Arabidopsis thaliana: one gene and its partners. The protein of the gene in region 1 interacts with the protein of each later gene in a pairwise test. Each region holds a gene or a part of one and is shown in the gene's direction. Other genes may lie near its edges.

Region 1 (8,225 bases):
AATTGATTTTTCTATCTAATACTGTTATTTGGTTTCTAAGGTGTACTTCCATGCTTGAATTTTTAAAGTAGAGTAATTTCAAATTTATCTACATGTCTTGAGTTTCTTGTATTGAAAAAATTGACTTTTATTTTTGGAAACCTATGGAATTCTTTAGATATTCTTAAATTTTTATTAAAAAATATTTTCCACCTGAAAGAATTATTGTTTTGCAATATCTTTCAACCGTTTTTCCAAATACTTCAAGATAATTGAGTCATTACTCTTTTAACATTCAATATCATCACATTAAATATTCTTTTATTTTTGGAAATGTCAAATTTATTAATCAACAAAAAAATATATTTTCAAGTGGAAGGGAATAAAAATCAAAACCATAGCGGCATACCCTAAAGATACCCTCAAACTTGTGAAGATATTTTGTAACTCAATTTTTTTTTTCTACTACACAAATCACATATATTATTTAGATAAAGGGTTTTGTGGAACATAAAATTCATCTATGGAATTTTTATTTCTAATAGACGATATGTTGAATATCATTTTAAATTGTTAAAGTTGGAAATATATGATATTTTTTTCTTCTCAACATACATTAATTAATTAAAATTTTCAAAAAACCAAACCAAATTTATAGAGAAATGATATTTATTTTTAAATACTTTAATTTTTTTTAAAGTAACTACCTATTGCTAAAAAGTGAAGATATAAATTAAACTAAATGTGTAGTATCATTAATTTATATATATACTTTTCATCATCTTAGATTTCTTGGTCAATGTTTTAGAGTTGGACCTTGTGGGACCAACTAATTTGTGGACCCTATGCTGATACGAACCATTAGATTGACATTGCAACACCAAAAAGATAATCACACGGCTAGTAGAAATTATAATGCTTACATGTTTTACACTTGTCACAAATATGCCCGAGAATTTTCCGCAACAATACAAACTACCTTATAACGACTTCATGATTATTACATGACAAATTTTAGTGACCAATTTACCCTTGGACTATCATTTTGTTTTTAAAGTAACTTTTTAACTCACCCAAGTTATCAAAGGTTAGATCTTTGCCAACTCATCGCTCTTCACAGTTGTTCTTGTTTATAAAGTCTTAATATTTTACCCTTACCTTTACTTCTCCCTGTTTTTCCTCTTCCTTAAATTCATCTTCAAGCTTGAATTTCATTTCACTAATCAATTACTTTCCTCGTTATCCTTTTTTGCAGTCAAGTTAAATTGCTCTCTTTCAAGACTTGTGTTCTTTAAACCAAAAAAAAAAAAAAAGTATCTGTGTTCATCACCAACTCATTCTTCTTTCAGATCTAGGGTTTCATGCTTCACTCAATTTTTTTTTGTTTAGGTAGTTCCATCTTCTAAACGTTGTATTTTTTTTTTTTTGCCATCATAATCATATGGAGTTCGAGTCAGTGTTCAAAATGCATTATCCGTATCTCGCAGCCGTTATCTACGATGATAGCTCCACTTTAAAAGATTTTCATCCATCTCTTACCGATGATTTTTCTTGTGTACACAATGTGCATCACAAACCATCGATGGTAAACTCTAATCCTGATCTTTTTTTCACAAGAATCTCACATTAAAGATCTCAATCCTATCACTTTACTCAAAATCTTAATATTGTTCCCTATCACTTTGATATGCAGCCTCACACATATGAAATACCATCAAAAGAAACCATTAGGGGCATCACTCCTTCTCCATGCACTGAAGCTTTCGAGGCATGTTTTCATGGCACATCCAACGACCATGTTTTTTTTGGCATGGCCTATACCACCCCACCAACTATTGAACCCAACGTTTCACATGTCTCACATGACAATACTATGTGGGAAAACGATCAAAACCAAGGATTCATCTTTGGAACCGAGTCAACCCTCAATCAAGCCATGGCGGACTCTAATCAATTCAATATGCCAAAACCACTCTTGAGCGCAAACGAAGACACCATCATGAATCGACGTCAAAATAACCAGGTAATGATCAAGACCGAGCAGATCAAGAAGAAGAACAAGAGATTTCAGATGAGGAGGATATGTAAACCCACAAAAAAAGCTAGCATCATCAAAGGACAATGGACTCCTGAAGAAGACAAGTAAATTCAACATCTAATTTTTTGGAATTCTCATAAATAATTTTCTTAATCTAGTATGATATTGTTTTTAATATTAATATTTTCTAATGATTCTACCTATATTTAGGTTATTGGTGCAGCTAGTGGACCTTCACGGAACTAAAAAATGGTCTCAGATTGCTAAGATGCTTCAAGGACGAGTTGGAAAACAGTGCAGAGAAAGGTGGCATAACCATCTCCGTCCCGATATCAAGGTCTCTTATTTTATTTTATTTTCATTTTCTTATTTTCATAGGAGAAACAAAAACAAAATATCATCTTCGATACTTTCAAATTCATTACATGATACATTGAGAATCTTCTAAGAGAATATTAACAAACTTTTTTCACACTTGTCAACATGTATACGGTTTTATTTCATGCATGAATACTTTAAACTTTTGTTTGTATATACATATATGTCTATGACAATTCTTTAAGGCATTTTGTCTTCTTGTTGCGGACAAAACTTCACAATTGGTAAGACATTTAAACTAAAGTCATTGTCACTTGGATTCTCTCATATAATTCAACAAACATAAAAGAGAAAAAAACATATAAAAAATAAAAATATTTGTTTAATATTGTATGTATTATTTACATATAAAGCATATTTTATGTGGTATGTTACAGAAAGATGGATGGACTGAAGAAGAGGATATAATACTGATAAAAGCCCATAAGGAGATTGGGAACAGATGGGCTGAGATAGCTCGAAAACTCCCGGGACGCACTGAAAATACGATCAAGAACCATTGGAACGCGACTAAACGTCGACAACACTCGAGGAGGACTAAAGGAAAAGATGAAATTTCCCTTTCACTTGGTAGCAACACTCTTCAGAACTACATTAGGTCTGTTACCTACAATGATGATCCTTTCATGACCGCAAATGCAAACGCAAACATTGGTCCAAGAAACATGAGAGGTAAAGGTAAGAATGTAATGGTTGCGGTCTCGGAGTATGATGAGGGTGAATGTAAGTATATTGTGGATGGTGTGAATAACTTGGGTTTAGAAGATGGAAGGATCAAGATGCCGTCATTGGCGGCTATGTCGGCCTCCGGATCAGCGTCTACTTCTGGTTCTGCGTCTGGTTCTGGAAGTGGTGTGACCATGGAGATTGATGAGCCGATGACTGATAGCTGGATGGTGATGCATGGATGTGATGAAGTTATGATGAACGAGATTGCTTTGCTGGAGATGATTGCTCATGGTCGTCTTTAGACCGTGCAATATAAACAAGTCGAACTTGATTATATCTACCTATATAATTATGCTATTTATGAAATTATGTTTGTGCTTTTAATTGAAGAATTGGACATGTAATATATATTGTGGTTTAATTGAAGGTTTCTTTTGGACTAAACAAAAATTGAAGGTTTTCTTGCTTTATCAGATTTTTTTTTTGTTATTCTCTAATTTCATTTTAATTAAGAATCTATATATATTGTTAAATTTTCTGTTATACTATATGAATGGTAATTGCGTTTGCGGTTAGGAGAAGACGACCATTAGGTCCACAACAAGTACATTTAGTCACTAAAGAATAATTTTATATCGACTATGCTAAAGAAAAAAAGTACTAGTTGTTTACAAAATATCTGGTTAGTATGATGTAATATGGGATAATATGTGTATGGTCCGTTGTATTGTAATTTTCTGGAATTTGTTACCTTACCGTCATAATGACTATATGGTCCGTCGTATTGTAATACCAGAAATTTTAGGCAAAACACAAACAAAAAAAAACGTAATGAGAGTTTTGTATACATTATATTTTGGTTTTCCATTTGTTTTGTATATCACCATTCGAAAAGTCATACATAACTAAAAGAAAAATACATAAAACTTTTGGGATCTATATTCATTAATGATATTTTGACTAACTACATAGAAAATTGAGATCTTAACCAAATACAATAAACCATTACTTCTTATTCTTTTTGTGCAATTCCTCCAACAAAAAAAGAAAAAAAACTTAACAATTTTAGTCTTAACTACAAATAGTTAAAAATAATAATGGGCTTGTAGATATCTTTCCATTTATATGAGATTTGTGATTTAGGCCTATTTAAGTAAAATACACACGAAACCAAATCGACGTCGTTTGGCAACTAAGCGTTGGACAAACGGAGAAGGTCCCACCTGTCCTTGTCTCCACTCTGTGTTCTCCGATTCCAGTGGGCCTCTGACACCGCCATTGGATTGTTCTTCAGATTTATACATATCTCATATCTCATCACCTTCCAAGTTTCAATTTGACTTCTCCATCACACACAACAACAAGAACAAGGACAAGCTTCTACATTTCTCTTAACATAACGTAAGTATCAAGAATCAAAGCTACTTAATCTTAACACTAATATCTCTATATGTAAATCAATTAAGCTACTTTTAACTCCTCTGCAGAGACAGTTTTTGATCTGGGTTTTCAAGTCCGGTGTTGATCCCATTGAGTTTCGGATCTAAAAGATCCGAATATTCAGACGGATCAACAAGAGAACAAGAAAAAAAAAATGAATCTTGAGAATGTTTTGGAATTCACCAGCTTTGATTACTGGTTTAATTGGAGAGTGTTACTATGTGCTATATGGGTAATAGTTCCAATGATTGTTTCTTTATTAGTCTTATGGAAGTATGAAGATAGTTCAGTTCAAACTCAACCATCACTTAATGGTAATGATGTTTTGTGCATTGATGATGTTTGGAGACCTTGTTTTGAACGAATCCATCCGGGTTGGTTGTTGGGTTTTCGGGTTCTCGGGTTTTGTTTCCTTCTTGCTAACAATATTGCCCGGTTTGCTAATCGTGGATGGCGTATTTACTACTATTATACTCAGTAAGTTCTCTTTAAAGATCTCTGCTTTATTGTGTGGAAAGGGAATATCTTTGATGTTTTGAGACTGATATGATTGAGGTTTTGATTGGTAGGTGGACATTCACTTTGATAGCAATCTACTTCGGGGTATGTTTTGATTTTTGATGTTGTGAATATGTATATGGTTATAGTCAAGTTTGTTTGAATGTTTGTTGTCACTTGTGTGTTGTGTAGATGGGATCATTGCTTTCAATTTATGGATGTTTACAATACAAGAAGCAAGGGAACACTGGACTTATCGCTGATCAAGTAGGAATCGATGCAGAGAACGGGTTTCGTTCGCCTCTTATAGATGGTGACAACATGGTTTCGTTCGAGAAGAGAAAAACTTCTGGTTCGGAAGCACTAAAGTCATATGTTCATCTCTTCCAGATTATATATCAGGTAGACAGATTCCTTTGGTTATTATGATGTATAGTTTGCAACTTTCAGATTTCTTGTTTCATTAGTGTATATATGATCACTGATACTTGTGTGTTTTGGTTTGTTGAAAAACAGATGGGTGCTGGAGCAGCTGTGCTTACAGACAGTATATATTGGACCGTGATTTTCCCGTTTCTGTCTTTACAGGACTATGAGATGAGTTTCGTAAGTTTTCGCGCCATTTACCGTATATTAGTTAAAGCTTGTACACTGCTGATGGCACTTTCTACGTTGCACTTGACCCTCTTGAACTTAGTCTCAACTTCTCTAGTGTCAAAATTCTGTGTTTTCAGATGACTGTGAATTTGCACACAAGCAACCTCGTTTTGCTGCTTATTGACACGTTTCTAAACCGTCTGGTAAAACAATTCTTTCCTCTGCATTTACGACGAGTTTTCGTTTTCATTAATGTGTTGAACCTGAGGTCTTTTTGTGATGTTGCTTTGCAGAAATTTCCATTGTTCAGGTTCTCTTACTTCATCTTATGGACAGGATGTTTCGTTCTTTTCCAGTGGATTCTCCACATGTTTATCTCCGTTGGGTAAAACTCTTCTCTGTCATCTTTTGTATGTTACACTTACCGTCTTGATTAATCTTACACTTGTATTCCTCGATTGACTTAGGTGGCCATATCCATTTCTCAACCTGTCATTAGACATGGCTCCAGTGTGGTAAGCCTTGAAAACATTTACATACTAGACACTAGTCAGGATTGGTTTATATCATAATGTTTCATTCCTTAGAATGATTACGCCTATCCTTAATATTTTAATTCATGCATCTGCAGGTATTTGTTGGTGGCACTCCTGCATCTTCCTTCTTATGGCCTCTTTGCATTAATCGTCAAAATCAAATACAAACTCATTTCTTGAAGTCATTTCGAATCCAAGAGTTTCTGCCCCGTAAGAGTCAGTGCTCAAGGGTTACAACAATCAAAGAAACAATTTTTTACCCCATATGTCTAAAATCTTCAAAACAGATCATTGTAAACGCCACAACATTTCAATGCATAAACTATTTACTTCCGATCCAATTCGCATATCGCAATGAACCATTTCGTAAATTTTTCGCTACCCGAATTGATTTCAGCTCGAACCAAATCGAAAGAACTAACCATAGCAACAGAATATAGTGCAATCTTTGCCAAAAGTGTATGAACTTAATCAAAAACCGAACCAAACCAAACCGAAAACCCGAAAATTCAAGGTTTTAGAATTGAAGATTTGAGTGAGACTTGAGAAGCCAAGTCTGGCTCTCCTAGTCTCAAGAGACCCTTACTCAAAACCTCAGCGACATACTCATCAGCCTCCCATGACTCAGACCCCCAACCACTTTCCCTCATCAAGGTATAAACCCTAACCACCGACTCTCTCCTCTCAGCTCCAACCACAGCCCTAATCAACTTAGCTAAAGCCTTATCATCACTTCTTTGATCAATTCCATCAATTTCACCAATAAGACGATCTATCTCATCGAACTCTTTATTCCTCGTAAGAGCATTAACAATGTCTGCGTATAGAACAAGGTCAAGAGGAGGATACTCTGTACGGAGAGTGGAGAGTACATGGACAGCGAGTGTGCAATAGTCTTGACGGAGAAGCTCACGGAGGACGGAGATGAGATCGGATTTTATGAGACGGCGGAGAGGACGGAGGGTAAGGGAGAGGGAGACACCGGTTCGATGAGCTCGTTTGAGAGATTGGATTGATTGGATTGCTTCGGTGCTTAGGATTCGGCCTTTGAGAAGTGGTCCGCGGTTGTCTCGTGGACCGCATCGGATCGAAACGAACGTTCTCTTAGGAACGATGACGCTAAGGGTATGGCTATGGCTAAGGCTTGGTGGTCGAGTCTGGCTGAGAGAAAGCGCCATTATTAATCACACCAATCTTTACGAGTGTGGTTGTGTGAGTGAGAGAGATGGTCTTTCATTGGGCAAGCCCATATTAATTTATAAAAGGCCCATATGTGACACAAAATTAATTAATTTATACTTTCTAATTATGCGTCGTTTATATTTCTGTTCCCGCTAATTTCTCTACACGAGTCTATCATTACACTTGCAAGAGCGACTCTATCTTCTTCTTTTTTTTCAAATTCTTGTTTCGTTAAAAAGTTAAATTTTATACCAATTTGACGACTTTATCTTCTTCTTTTTTTTTCAGATTGTTTTTTTTTTTGTTAAAAAGTTAAATTTTATACCAATTTTAATTTTTAACATAATTACAAAGATTACAAAATACATATAAAAATAATCTACAGAAAAATAAATACAACATTACTACTAAAAAAGGTTTGGATCGCTTCTAAGCAAAGAAAGCCAAGTTACAAAGAGAACCACCGAATTCGATCTTGTAAAACTTAAGAATTCGCGTGATTTTACCATATGACCTAAGTACTGGAATCTTCATATTTGTTGCCACAATTCTAACTGAAATCAGTCTTCAAAAAATCAAGATAGAATGCTAGCAACATTCTATCTTAAATCTTATATTTCTTTAACTCGTTTAATTACTAATATCCTAAAACATTTTTACCTTATTAAAATATAAATATATGATTTTTTTACTTTTATTTAACCTTATATTTATTCTATTTCGAATTTATATAAAATCTATTTATATATATAATTATTTAAATATTAAATTTAGACATATATTCGATACTTTATTCTATTTTTATAATAAACAAAACTATGATTTTCATCCCTTTTTATTTAGCAACAAAACTATGATTATGTGACCAAATTTACTAGAGAAAAAAGTCAACAAAAGTCAAAGCAAGA
Region 2 (6,375 bases), 4.0 Mb from region 1:
TTTCTTCTTATATTTGTTGCTTTTCACATTTTCTCCTAATCCAAATCAACTATTTTACATAGTGATTACATTCATTTCATTGTTGTTTCTTACCGCAGTAACTTTTATCTTAATAAATTTGATCCAACCATGCCAATATTTACGGGATCGTCCTCCGATTCTGAAGACGAAAGAACGATCCATAAAACAACTAAGCTCTTCACTCGTCAACGATCTATTCACTCTATATTTGGAGGTGGTAAAGGTATTTGTCTCACTCTCTTTCAAACTTTATATCGGTTCAATCGGTATGCGTGTGTGAAAGTACATGTTTATATCCATCAATTCTCTTCAAATATCACATTTTATTTTGCTATTATCCAAAATTATCACCAAAATTATAATGTAGACAAACACTAAATTTTAACAACTTGCATTCGTGATTAACAGTTGCGGATATTCTGTTATGGAGAGAGCCGAAAATAGCAGCAACATTGGTGATAGGAGTGAGCATCTTATGGTTCTTAATGGAAGTAGTGGAATACAATTTCATAACCCTAATTTGTCATGCTTCCATGACCTCCATGCTTTTTTTCTTCATTTGGTCTACTGCTTCTGATTTTCTCAATTGGTATGTTTATATCTTTACTTGATTAATCTTTTTTCAATTTCTCATGATCAATTGGTTAAAAATATACAAATTACAAGATTTCCTTACCAATAAAACGACAATTAAATAAACAAAATTGCAGGGAAAGACCACTAATACCAGAAGTTGTACTAGACGAATCTTCTTTCAAACAATTAGCAAGAAGCTTCCATGTTAGATTCAACCAAATCCTCACAAAGCTTCTTGACGTTGCTTGTGGAAGAGATCCTCCTCTCTTTTTTCTCGTAAGATATTATATAGAATAATAATTTTCCACTTATATATATATATATATATAACTTTGGATTCATTATTATTTTGCTTAAATTGGTTACTATATTTCCAGACAACGATCTCGCTTTATATCGTATCCATCATCGGGACATATTTCAACTTTGTGAATCTTCTCTTCATAGGTAAGAAGAATTAAGTCATGATACTCAACTATATATGTAGATTTAATTCCCTTTTATTAATTAACGGAATTAATGGACGTCGTGTCGTTCAGGGTTTGTAAGCATGCAAACCTTACCGGTTATGTATGAGATGTACGAGGACGACGTGGATACAGCGGCGGGTAAGTTGATGAGGAAGATGAAGAAGCTGTACAAGAAAGTCGATACGAATGTTCTTAGTAAAATCCCAAGAGGAACTGTCAAAAACAAGAAATTTACTTAATTCTGATCATTCTTTACTTATAGAGATAATGTGTTTGCTACTGTATTTATGCGACCTCATCAACCCAAATTAATATACATATCTGTTAAAAGAAGAAGAAGAAGTTAAGATCTGATAATCATCATCAAATGGAATAATGATGTGAAATTGTGAAAATCAAGCCTCTAGGGAAATAATTAACAAGAACTTGTTTATGGTAACTTTCTCCAATTAATGATATTGGTCTAGTTTTAACCTTGATGAGTATAATAATAAACTATAAATCGACCAAATCACTTGAAAAGCGGGTATCATCAGCACATCGCTGCAAATCTGTTGCACATTATATCACCATCACATTCCTAAAACCTGTTATAACGTTAAGATTTGCCAAAACCGAGCTATTTTTTTTTCAATAATAATTTTCTTCTATAAAAATAAAATAAATAAACACTAAATCGAAAGCGAAAGTGGTCGGATAAATATCAAGATACGTACGTTTGTTTACATGTATGGGAAAAAATACAAAACAAAATACCAAATTTTCGTTTTTTGTCCAAACCAAACTTTGTCTAAAATAGATACCAATTGTTCTACAAAATTGTCAAAGAGATATTTTGTTATTTTGAAAATGACAATGTTAATAATAAGTGGAGTTAGACTTTTCACTTTTGTTTTAACCTACAATTTCTCTCTCGCTTAACATCGACTATTCTAACACATTTTTCAATCTTCCTTTTTATTAAGGAACTTTAATTTTTCCAAAAATCTGAAACATACTATACCCAAAAATCGATGCTCACACCTAGCTAGTTCAAACTGCGTACGTCAAAATATGTGGTATGGACGTAAAGTATTTTATAAGTTTTGTTAGAAAGTTAGATACTTATAAAATAAAAAAATTGATATTTTTTTGGTAAAAAATGGAAGTTTGGTATTTTTTGGCAGTTGTATACATAAATAAAAATATATATTACGGAGTTATATATTCTTGTTTGGTCAAATGTTTCGGAAGCTTTTAGATTACGAAATTACATAATCCATGATGAATTAAATTTGGTTAGTGGTAGAAGAATAAGACGCCAAAAGAAAAAAGGGAAGAACATTGGGTTACGTCGAAAGTCCTTTGATAAGAATTTGATTTTGCATAGTCAAATTTGGACCAACAACAAAAATGGAGTCCACGTGAAATAGAAGAGAGAGACTTAATAGCTTCTCATGCATAAAGTTATGAACAATCAATGATAACCAATGATAAATAACTAAACAGTACAAAATCTCTGTATTTTTATTGGATTTAACAAAGGCCATGAACAATCACTTCAATATTTATAATTTTTTTAAAAAGACGAGGCAATTCAAGCTGATTTATACATTATGATTAATGATAATTATATTATGGCATTTGACTTTTCTCACGCTAATGTAAATGGTCAAAAATCCTTATCTTCAACTAAACTTCCTCGACAAAACCTTAACTAGAACTATGTATGTAATTTATCAAATATTGAACTTTAAATTTCTTTAAAAGCATAATATAATCTTGACCTATAAAATTAGCCTAGCCTTTCGAATTACAAGTTTTATATTTTTAAAGAAACATAATCTTCAACTAGAAATTATTATAAACCGGGTCCTATCTTCATCTAATATACGTGATTCCATCAAAATTCCGCAGTCAAATGTGTTTAGTTGAGAGGAGGAGAATAGTAGACTAAAATGGATGACTTTCTGGTAAGTCTTGTATTGCAGTCTTTTCTATATTTTAACAAATAAGTCTTCTTTTCTTAAAAAGAAAAATTTAATTACAAAGAAATCTTACTACTGAACGAATAATTTATCAAAAGTCAGTGGCCTTACGTACGAATTTATCGGCTATAAGTAGGAAAGCTTTTCACGTTAAACAACTTAATCTCATCCACATTAACTAGAGAAAGAGAGATGGCGAGACACTTATTAGAAGATGTAATGAGCATGGCCACCACAACAACACATTTCGATGCTAGTTACCTGTTTCATGTTGTGTTCCTGGCTGTGATCGGTTGTTGTATCCTCTCCGCTCTGTTATTCTCTTGTGCCGACGGAGTCTCCGACAACAGAGCCACTTCAGGCACCTCTACCGGTGGCGGAGGTTGTGGCGGTGCCGGTTGCGGTGGTGGTTGTGGAGGTTGAGATTTCATTTTTCTTCGTCAGGAAAATATAAACAGAACAGTCCGACCATTTTACTTTCGTTTATAGATGTATAGCTATCGTATATTGAAGCAATAATTTATTTAGTTTCCATTTCTTATCTTACTGATTGAATTTCTTTAAAAATTAGAAAGACATCTGATACAAAACCCAAACAAAAATTGTACCAATTCTTTCCTTTGGTTACTTTCATTCTGAACCCGTAAACATATCTGAAACCTTAACTTTAGGAGAGATTCATAATTCTGAGAAAACGTTAACTAGTCTCTAATAGACACCAACAGCACAGCCAAGGTTCATGTCTTCATGAGATACAACAAGCAAACCAAACTAAGATAGGAGTTACCATCAAAGATTCTTCATGGATCTGAAAAGCCATAACGGATCAAATGATTGCCAAAAGAAGACGATCCTACAGATTATTTGGTGAGACAAGAAAGGCGCTAACCGGGAAAAGTTTTGTTCAAGCGTTGATGGCATCTGATTCTTTAGACCTTATGATCTTGGCTTGTAGTTTCTGCATAAAAGCTGGATTGGCACGGAGTCTTTGTTTTACATATGAAGTTCTTATGTCTTCAGCGATCTTGTTGGCTTTCCCAGCTTCTTCTATCAACCCGTAAAGAGTTCTTAAGCAGTCTTTCCTGTTTTCCTCTCGGTGTTCAAACCTGTGACAGGACAAAAACATTTCATGATTCAACATTCTTGTCTCACGAAAAGCTTAAGATTTATAGTTATATATACCTCTCGCTGGTGATTGTAAGCTCGTCTTTCCCCGAATGGTATCTTTTCCCTACAAGTTCCCTTAGCCTTTTAGCCTGATGCTTTGAGAGCCCAAGCTCTTTCACTGTAACAGACATTTTAACTTTCCTGTTCTTTGGATGCCACGCATCACCTCCAGGAGCAAAAACTATCCTTGATTGCCACCTGAGGATTGGGCCTTTACCAGGGGGATCATCCAAGTCAGTATTCCTATCGGAAGCATCTGTTTCACCAAATTGGGGAGGACCCTCAGCTTCCATCTGATCCCCATACTGAATTACCATCTCATCTTCAAATTCCTTAAAAAGCTCATAAGCTGCTTCAGCCTCAATTTCACCTCTTTCACACATATCTCCAAGCTCATTAAACTTTGCTTCAACCTTTTTCTTCAAGTCATCTGAATGAACATACACAGTTAGAGAAATGTTCATATGTACGCATCACAGGAACAAACCAATATATTCTCTAAACGGCCCTACTGATCCGAGAAGTAACATATCTGGCATAGTACATTACCTTCTACGAGTTAAAAAAACGAATGGTTCTCAACTTCTCATACCATGATTCAGAAAAATCCAAATAGAAAGGTTAACTACAAAAGCTAAGTTCCACGAAGAGATTGTGTTTAGCTATAACGACGCACATTAGTCTATTAATCAACCTAATCTATGTCTAAGGATGTGAGTCGATGAACGGGAAGATTGAAAATAAACGAGCCATTACCAGGAAGAAGCTGGTCCCATTTGAGCATATCCTCAAGAATCTCCTCGCATTCTTTAGTATCAGTAAGACACCCATGTTGGATACCTTCTCTAATCATGTGATCCCACTTCTTATCATCCATGTTGAAAAACTCATTCTTCCTCATCTTTTCAGCTACATACTCGGGAGAATTGTACAAATCCTCAAGTTCTTCGTCAGTAGAATGTGCTTCCTCGAAATCGGATTCAAAATCTTCATCCTTGACATCATCTTTGAAAGGTAGAGACTCGATTTTTTCCAACAATTCATCATCAGTCTCTGCGTGTTTGTCTACAAGTCTTCTCTGTAGAAGTGCTTCAATAACTCCGGGTAAAGCATCTTCATTACCCTCATTGAAATACTTCTCTATACGGCTTTTAAGCTCTGAGACCACAAAATCCAATAAATGAAGTCAATTTCAAACGATTACCTACAGCTATTCTACTAGTTCATGAGATAAGAAGCTACGAATCTTGTATCGAAGGATCAATTGAAAACTATGAGGTATTGAGAAATGGTGAGATGAGAATTAAACTCACACATTTCAACTAATACAAAGGCCATTTCAAGTGTGAGGTAACCAAACAAGAGGATAGAGTGTGTTTTACCTTTGTTGCTTACATCTTCTACAACGAGATCTTTCTTCTCGGGTGAATCAGTCGGCGAAGACTCAGGGGCCGTAGTCGAGTTCTCACCGGATTCGGAGGAGAAAAATCTGAACTTGGGAGCAGCAGGAGCGGCGATTGGAGCGAGAAAGGGAACATTGGGGGAGATCTGATGGGTTATACGAGGAGAAAGAATGATTCTGCGAGCGCAGAGAGATGCATTTCTCAAGAGAGCTCCTCTCATGGCGGATCAGAGATTTAGGGTTTTAGGTTGTGACAGGAAAAAAGCTCTTCTTCATACCTGAATCTGCTACAGAACCTGAATCAATAATTTGGTTAAATGTCTTAATCTCCGGTTTAGTTTCATCTGTCCGGTTTAGTTAGCAATACATATACTTAAGGTTGTTATTTTTTCATGGTGGAGCTATGTTTGTGGATGTTGTCTTAGAAGGTTAGCTGAAGATAAAAGAGTTAAAGGGCTGTGTAATTCACTAGTTTATCAGATTCATGGAAGTTCAATATGCTTATAAGAAAACAAGTCAAGAACAGTTTATTATCAACGGGTTTTCAGCTCAAAGATGGTACAAGGTGGATACAGGCTTGGTTTGGAGCTGATTGTTGGTAAGGTCATTTAGAAGTAGACTGCAGATTTTTCAGAAATAAATTGCAGGTTTCTAGATAGGAGTTGCTGGCTGCAAATTTCAGAAAAGACACTAACGTGTAAATAGAGATGAAGTTATTGAAGTGGTTCAATGAATTCTCTAAAGAAGGAACTGAAAAGAGACATGTGTAAGT
Region 3 (7,181 bases), about 12 Mb from region 1:
CAATCATCAATGGAAATGCTAAATGTCACAACTCAAGAGTGTTAGGGAAGTAATCAGATACCATGATCGATATGCCGTTACCAGGCGCAACGGAATTTCCAGCTTCCTCGAAAGTCTCCGACTTTCCCATTGACAATACCACCGGAAAACAGCGTTTCACATTGCCGATGAAACTAACACGGCCTTTGAAGCCGAGTGGAACCATTTGATTCGTTCTAGAAGAGAACGAGAAATGGGGATGTACAGGACGGTGGAGAAACACACTAGATGCCGCCATTAGCCTGTGATCAAATCCCAGACAAGAACAACAACAAAAATGACAACTTTAAAGATCAATTCATCAAACCAATGTCGGAAGAGAGTGAATCCAGTTTAGAAACTGTACCCATTCGCCGCCATTTTCGGTTTCCACTTGGTCCGAGATTGCTGTCGAGCAACGAAATTAGAATTTATGTTCAAACCTTGTCTGAAAAATTCGAACCGGCGAACGGTAGGGTTTTAGACATTTTCCCTTTACGTCAGATCCAAAGCTTCTGGTTAAGGTTGGGGTGTTTCAACCAAAACCGGAAAGGTTACTAAAATTGAAAACCGGAATTTCTCTTCATTTTAATGGTCAAACCGGAATTTCTATTTAATTAATTTATCAAACCGGAGTTTCTCTACTTTTTCCTTAATTAATGGTCAGAGTCCGGATTTCACTTTAATTAAGAGGTCATGAATCATCTTTTGTTTTTTTGACAACGAAAATGTACGGAAACATTGTTTTTGTTGGAGCTAGCTAAAAATATAAAATTGAATATGAACCATAAATTTGGTATATTAGGATCAATGCAATGAACCCAATGACCGACCTCAGGTAAGCAGCAGATACATTGTTTTTTTCTCGTCATTCGTTTAATTTCCCTTTCAATCTGTGATTTTTAATTAATTAAAGCTTGATAAAATGAAAAGGTTTAACCCATAAAAGTAAGTATACCTATTCTTGTCTTTGTCACTAAGACATACAAACTTATGATACTCTGAACCTAATCATACTCCTAAATTTTGGAAACCAAATTATGAACACTTTTCAATTAACTTGTTTCATGATAACATCACTCACGAAAACGACCATTAATCCTATTAGACCAACCACAATAAGAGATGCTTGTCGGGGAAAGAATTTCAAATAATTTGGGTTAAATTTCCACAATAACAAAATAATTTGTATCAAAGGGGATTAAAAAAAACAAAAAAAAAAACAACAAACAAAATAATTTGTAATCTTTTTTTTTAAGCAAACAAAAAAGGGGATTAAAGAGTCGTACGAGGAATATTAATTAGGCAAGTTGGTTTGGTCGAGACTCGAGAGATCATGCATTGAATCAAAGGCAAAGAGCCACGTGACGTTTACATGTGGTTCGATCCTCAGTGTCTCATCGATCGCCTTTCTCCTTACAAATCAACCAAATTATACTGTAGTAATCTTTTTCTCAAATTATACTGTAGTAATCTTTTTCTCAAATTATACTTAGTATAATAATGGAATAATATTTCACAAGATAATAATCGAATAATATTATCAAATCTAAAAAAGCTGACCAAAACAAAAATCTTTAAAATTCGCGAACGTTATGAAACTGAGCATATGGACCTTGTTATTGAGATTATTGTAATGCATCAAGTGTCTAAGAATTAGACCAAAACATATGTCTATGCATATTGACTGTCGAAAATCAATTAAATTAGAAGTAGGGTATATAAAACAAGAAGAAGCAATATTTAAACATGACTGACTTATTAGTAAGACAGAGGGAATAATATTATGATAATACTTTTTTTTCTTGAACTTTTTGATACAGGTCCACTGGACACCAATCTAAATGTGTGCGGTGTTCAAGGCAATAATCATGCATGGGTTGCCATATATACACACCTACATCTTAACTTTCCACCATTATTTACTCATCTAGTCTTCAATAAACAAATTCCATTACTAATTAAAAACGTACAAATAGAGATGTTTAATCGTAATACTGTATATCTATCCAAGAACAAACACACAAGTGAACTGAATTTTAAACTGATTAATTCTTTTGTTTCCAAAGAACTTAAAAGGAAGTACTTTTATTTAAATAAAAAATAAATCTTAAACCGCACCAAATAAGTTTTGGTTACTAGTGTATACATTCAGTGAACATTTTTATGAACCCATATTTTAGTAAAAGTATTCTCTTGATTGTAGAGACAAACACTAAACACAAATAAATTGATTTTTTTAGTTGAGCTTATGCTGAGAAGATCCATTTGACAATTTTCTTTCCTTTTTTTGGTCAACGATTCAAGGAGATCCATTTTCTCATCCCTAAATATACGATTTTCGTATCTGTAGAGTAGGAGTAGAAACTAGCGGATCTTTCGATATAAACATTCTAAATTATTAATTTAGGGTTTGTCATCCATGCAAAAAACTTTGTTGGTACACGTCAAATAGTTTAATATCTGAAGCTGCAGTCTTCGTATATTGTTAATTTGGCCTAATTAAAGTAATGCTGCACAATTAATGTGGATAACTAGTGTTGTAGTATTGGTAATCTATCAATTCTCCCAAACTACTCATCGGCTTTTTTGTATCTAAAGGCCAGGAAAAAAACTAATAAAACCACTTGACGTTGTTTCTAAAGGAAATGGCCTATATGTTTCTCAATTCATTGAACCATGAATTATATTTATGGGATTAACTATATTTATATATTAAAAGTAACAAGTGATTTCCGACTGAGTTACTAGCGAAGTCTATTTGCTTTAATTCATCATTCTGTGAGAATTCATCCTCTGGCGATATAAACATCTTGGCTTTATTAAAAACCATCCTCTCATCAAGACTTCACATGCAAAGCGTGTTGTCACGTTACTATGTCCGATCTCCATATACACGTAAATATATAAAAATAGCATCGTGAATTAATTTGAAAAACATTCCTAGCTATTTAACTTGGCTTTATATATAGAAATATGAGAGCATATACATATATTGGCCCAACATTTCCTGGTAGAACAAGCGCATTCACCATATGAAGTGCTTCGAGAAGAACAACACTATGGGTCCTTATTTATCCATAAACATCGACAAAATTATTGGTAGGTACGTTAATAAAAATAATTTCCTCATCGCATCAAATATTTGATTATAAAATTTTAAAAATCAACCTGTATATTAATAACTGGATGATTCAAAATAAACTAGAAAATTATTTTCTTAAAAATTTATAGAATGGTAAAAAGATGGTTTTAAAACTCATTTATTTAAATACTACTTACATATTCAGATCAGAGGAGATTGTAGCTTACGTCATATGTTATATAAGTAAAAGAAATGGTAGAAAAAGTAAGAGAAAAGAAGACCAGGGGAGAAGAACCTTGTGATTGTGGAGGAAGACTAGGCCACACGAAATTCAAATCTTTCAAATTCAGCAACTTGCTTCTCCTCACATTTGTCAGCCCCTTTATATAATAAACGTTCCTCTTTTTCGTCTTTTCAACATATCAGAAAATCCCTAAATTCACTGAACCCTCTTCTCTCTCTTTCTCCCCCCATATCTTCTGATTCTCCTCCAACTCCTTTATTAATAAATTCTCCTCTTTCATTGCTACTTGTCTTCCTCATTTCCCTACTAGTACTTGTTTCACACAGTTTCTTGATCCAACCAAAACCAATACACAAAGCTTCTCAAACTCCTTCACCTCAAAGCTTCTTCCTTTACATCTGAATCGTTGAGTTAACTCGGATTTGTTCTGCATCCTCTGTTTCTGAATCGTGGGCCATCCTTATTTTGTCTCGAATTCTTCACCAATTGCTTCGATCAAGCTGCATTGGTTAACCAGTTGCCCTAAAGATCAGATCTTTGAGCAAAATTTTGTCACTGATCTTCTAAATCCAAACCAGACACAGCAAAACAACCTCTGTAGATGATTCGAGAAATCTCAAACTTACAAAAAGATATTATAAACATTCAAGACAGTTATTCGAACAACCGAGTCATGGACGTCGGAAGAAACAACCGGAAAAACATGAGCTTTCGAAGTTCGCCGGAGAAAAGCAAGCAAGAGTTACGGCGGAGTTTCTCGGCGCAGAAAAGGATGATGATCCCGGCGAATTATTTCAGTTTAGAGTCTCTGTTCCTATTGGTTGGTCTAACGGCATCTCTGTTAATACTTCCGTTAGTTTTGCCGCCGTTACCTCCGCCTCCGTTTATGCTGCTATTGGTTCCCATTGGGATTATGGTTTTACTCGTCGTTCTTGCCTTCATGCCTTCTTCTCATTCTAATGCTAATACAGATGTAACTTGCAATTTCATGTAAATCTGAAATTTATTATATGATGATCTTAATTAATCTTAGGGTTCTTAATCCAATGAAATTGATATACAATATAAATGTAAGTTATAAATATTACATTAAATTATCATAATATATATATGTGAGAATACTTCAACGCACAATAAGAGAAATGGAGGAGAAGAGACTGACATAATATAGAAGCATCATAAGAAGAAATTATACAAAAAAAAAAAAAAAACCTCACTTCGTCATCTCAAACCCAAATCCCAATATCCGTTAATTTAAATCGTAGTATTTATTTGCTTATTTTCAACTATTCGTAGAAATTAGAAAACCAGTGAAGCCCAAAAGCAGAATCCATTTGTTTCAATCGAAAATGGCGGTAAGGTGATGCTCCAAAACCGCCATAAGGTTACGAGTCTGGCTTACTTCCACAACTGCAACAGCACAGCCTTGAAGCTGTCTCACTGCTTCTACAAGCTGTCCTCTTAGCCTCTGAGACAGTAACCGACCGTCCGCTTTCATGCACTCTCTGTACAGCGGCATGTACGCTATTGCTACTCTTAGCGGTGCAGGAAGGTCTCTTAAGGATATCGCTGACTCCCCTTTTTTCAAAACTCTCATGAAATTCATGAAATCGTCATGGCTTTCTCTCATTCCTTTCTCAAAAGCTGACTCCGACCAGTGTTCTTGGAGAAACGATTTTAGATCTGAAGGAACGGATTCGTCTTCTGATGACCTTGCGATGCTGTCTGCCACTGAGTATGTAGCCGTGGAATCTCCTAAGAAGTCTGATTTGAGAAGAAACTCTACTCCTTGGAGAGACCCTCCGCTTCTTTCTCCTGCTGCTTTGAGGATTTCGATGCTGAGAGCGGTTAAGACAGGTGGTGGAACACGAGGGAGGAGATAAGCAGCTACCTCGACTTGGCAACTTGAAGTGGCCGCTGTTAGAGCCAAGCAAAGCTCCATGTCACGGCAACCTCTTTTCACAAACCATTGAACAACTTGCATGCAACCTCTCTCTGCTGCTCTCATTAAGGGACCCAAGAAGGCAATGGCATTACCTTCTTCCACTAGGCACTTCATTGTTCCGATTTTACAATAATGCGAGGCAAAACCAAGAGCTAAGTCCACATCAACATCTAAGCTGTTCCTTTGGGCAATCTGCTCCAGGAAATACAATATTTGAGCACGAAAAGAGACCTTCTATAAGTCTAGAAGCAATCAAAAGAATGGAAGCTTACCTGCAATAAGACGCGGACAAGTTCTGTACTACCAAAACGTGAAGCTTCAAGGAAACATTGGTTCACATTATCTGCGCCACCTTCAACAAGCATACCGAGCAGTCCCTGTATAACAGTAGCTGACATCCCAGATGCCCAGCCAGGATCAAACGAGTTGGAGAACAGAGTGAGCGGGAAACAAGCTGCATCAAAGGCCTCAGTGAAGTCTCTTCCTGAGAGATGGTTTCCTGCTAGATCTAAGAACATCTTGAAAGCAGAAAGTTGTAGTTCAATTTCAGCAGCCGAATTTTGGCTAACTCTATCCTTTGCCCCCTGGCATCGGGAGTGGAAACCTATACATTTGAGAGCCCATTCAGTGAACTTCTGAACTTTGGCACCAGCCTCTGCTTTTAGAATCTCATCCCCGTTGCACTCTTGGAGACGCTCATGCAACCTATACATCATGTACAAACCAAATATGAACTCACATGTTAAACAAACTGATTTAAAGTTTTCTTAAGCGGAATTGTTTTGTCTATGACATTTAGTAACATCAGCGCCCACAAATACTAGCAGTGTCATTTGATTATCCTGACAACCAATTACATACAGATATAACCAAACACTATAACCAGTAAGGAAAAATTTGTGCAGCTACAAATATACCTAAGGTTCCCGTGAGTGAAGCAAAATAAAAAGAAACAGGGAAAAATAGAAACAGCCAACCAGTCTAAGCACCCCAAATCTGCTTTAGAATTATACTTAAAGAGAAATTAAAAGATTGCATGATTACCTTTGAGCCATAACAGTTACTGTATCAGAAAGACTCATTGTCCGGCTCTGGCAAGCAGAGACACAAGAAGCGAGAAACGAAGTCCTAAGAGTAGCTCTAGTAAAGTCATGAGCACCATGACATATGATCTTCTTAATCAATCCGGTGATCCCCTGAAACTCAGGCTTTGTACTCAAGAACCAAACTGAATCTAGACCAACACACAACAAATCATTTAAAGTCTGAGGATCAGCCAACTGAATCAATCTCTCAGCAAGTTCCCAATCCAGTGAGGTAACAGCGCCTTGGAAGAGCCGTCCCAACTCAATTCTTTCTTGCCTATTAAGCTTTTTCTGCTGCTCAATATTTTCCTTCTCAACGAGATCATCATCCCCTTTAAAATTTAGTTTCTTAGCACTACAACCACAGCATTCTCCCGAATTAGTTCCAGCTGAATCCTTTCCTATTAAAGGTGCCTCTCTCGAAAAAACCACTTTACTCCCCTCGCCTCCTTCAAATTTCTGAGATGAAGCAATGGTTTCAGTTTTCATCTCGGAACAGAAAGGCTCATCAGGGTACATCTGATCACTTAAATTAATGGTATCACACACACCTTCTTTCTCCATCCTTGTCAAGTCTGTGACTTTCCAAATCAAACTAAAAAAAGAAGCACACAAAGCTTATTCATCCAAAAGCTATCCGCACAACAGACCACACACTAAACAAAGTATATAGCAAATCCAATCCTTGCATCATCGAAATCTACAAAACCAAAGGCCAAAACTCAAAACCCGGAACTGATCCCTATCAAAATCCACCAACACAGTTCATTCTAATCAGCGTAAATCCTCGATGCCTTCTCTTAA

What was found.
Region 2: the proteins of AT3G27770 (region 1) and AT3G18250 interact in a protein complementation assay, tested with the Arabidopsis thaliana proteins (one large-scale study listed by BioGRID).
Region 3: the proteins of AT3G27770 (region 1) and ARGOS interact in a protein complementation assay, tested with the Arabidopsis thaliana proteins (one large-scale study listed by BioGRID).

Annotation. Positions count from the first base shown.
Region 1 is NC_003074.8:10,283,908-10,292,132, reverse strand, and holds AT3G27770 (plant/protein), read left to right. Parts: upstream 1-4,201; 5' UTR 4,202-4,465; intron 4,466-4,551; 5' UTR 4,552-4,658; coding exon 4,659-4,981; intron 4,982-5,073; coding exon 5,074-5,107; intron 5,108-5,194; coding exon 5,195-5,404; intron 5,405-5,518; coding exon 5,519-5,608; intron 5,609-5,736; coding exon 5,737-5,802; intron 5,803-5,892; coding exon 5,893-5,984; intron 5,985-6,066; coding exon 6,067-6,114; intron 6,115-6,230; coding exon 6,231-6,315; 3' UTR 6,316-6,476; downstream 6,477-8,225. Other genes in the region: MYB118 (myb domain protein 118), read left to right, coding at 1,421-1,564, 1,673-2,121, 2,228-2,354, 2,773-3,366; EMB3123 (PPR containing protein), read right to left, coding at 6,645-7,313.
Region 2 is NC_003074.8:6,255,259-6,261,633, reverse strand, and holds AT3G18250 (Putative membrane lipoprotein), read left to right. Parts: upstream 1-3,207; 5' UTR 3,208-3,226; coding exon 3,227-3,457; 3' UTR 3,458-3,574; downstream 3,575-6,375. Other genes in the region: AT3G18260 (Reticulon family protein), read left to right, coding at 130-244, 430-610, 732-873, 975-1,044, 1,137-1,306; AT3G18240 (Ribosomal protein S24/S35), read right to left, coding at 3,939-4,140, 4,217-4,631, 4,958-5,359, 5,584-5,824; AT3G18235 (uncharacterized protein), read left to right, coding at 6,333-6,375.
Region 3 is NC_003074.8:22,126,093-22,133,273, forward strand, and holds ARGOS (auxin-regulated gene involved in organ size), read left to right. Parts: upstream 1-3,412; 5' UTR 3,413-3,948; coding exon 3,949-4,341; 3' UTR 4,342-4,380; downstream 4,381-7,181. Other genes in the region: AT3G59890 (Dihydrodipicolinate reductase, bacterial/plant), read right to left, coding at 62-281, 386-399; AT3G59910 (Ankyrin repeat family protein), read right to left, coding at 4,687-5,484, 5,565-5,997, 6,337-6,941. UniProt on the Arabidopsis thaliana protein: Promotes cell proliferation-dependent organ growth. Takes part in the AXR1-dependent auxin signaling pathway that requires ANT during organogenesis.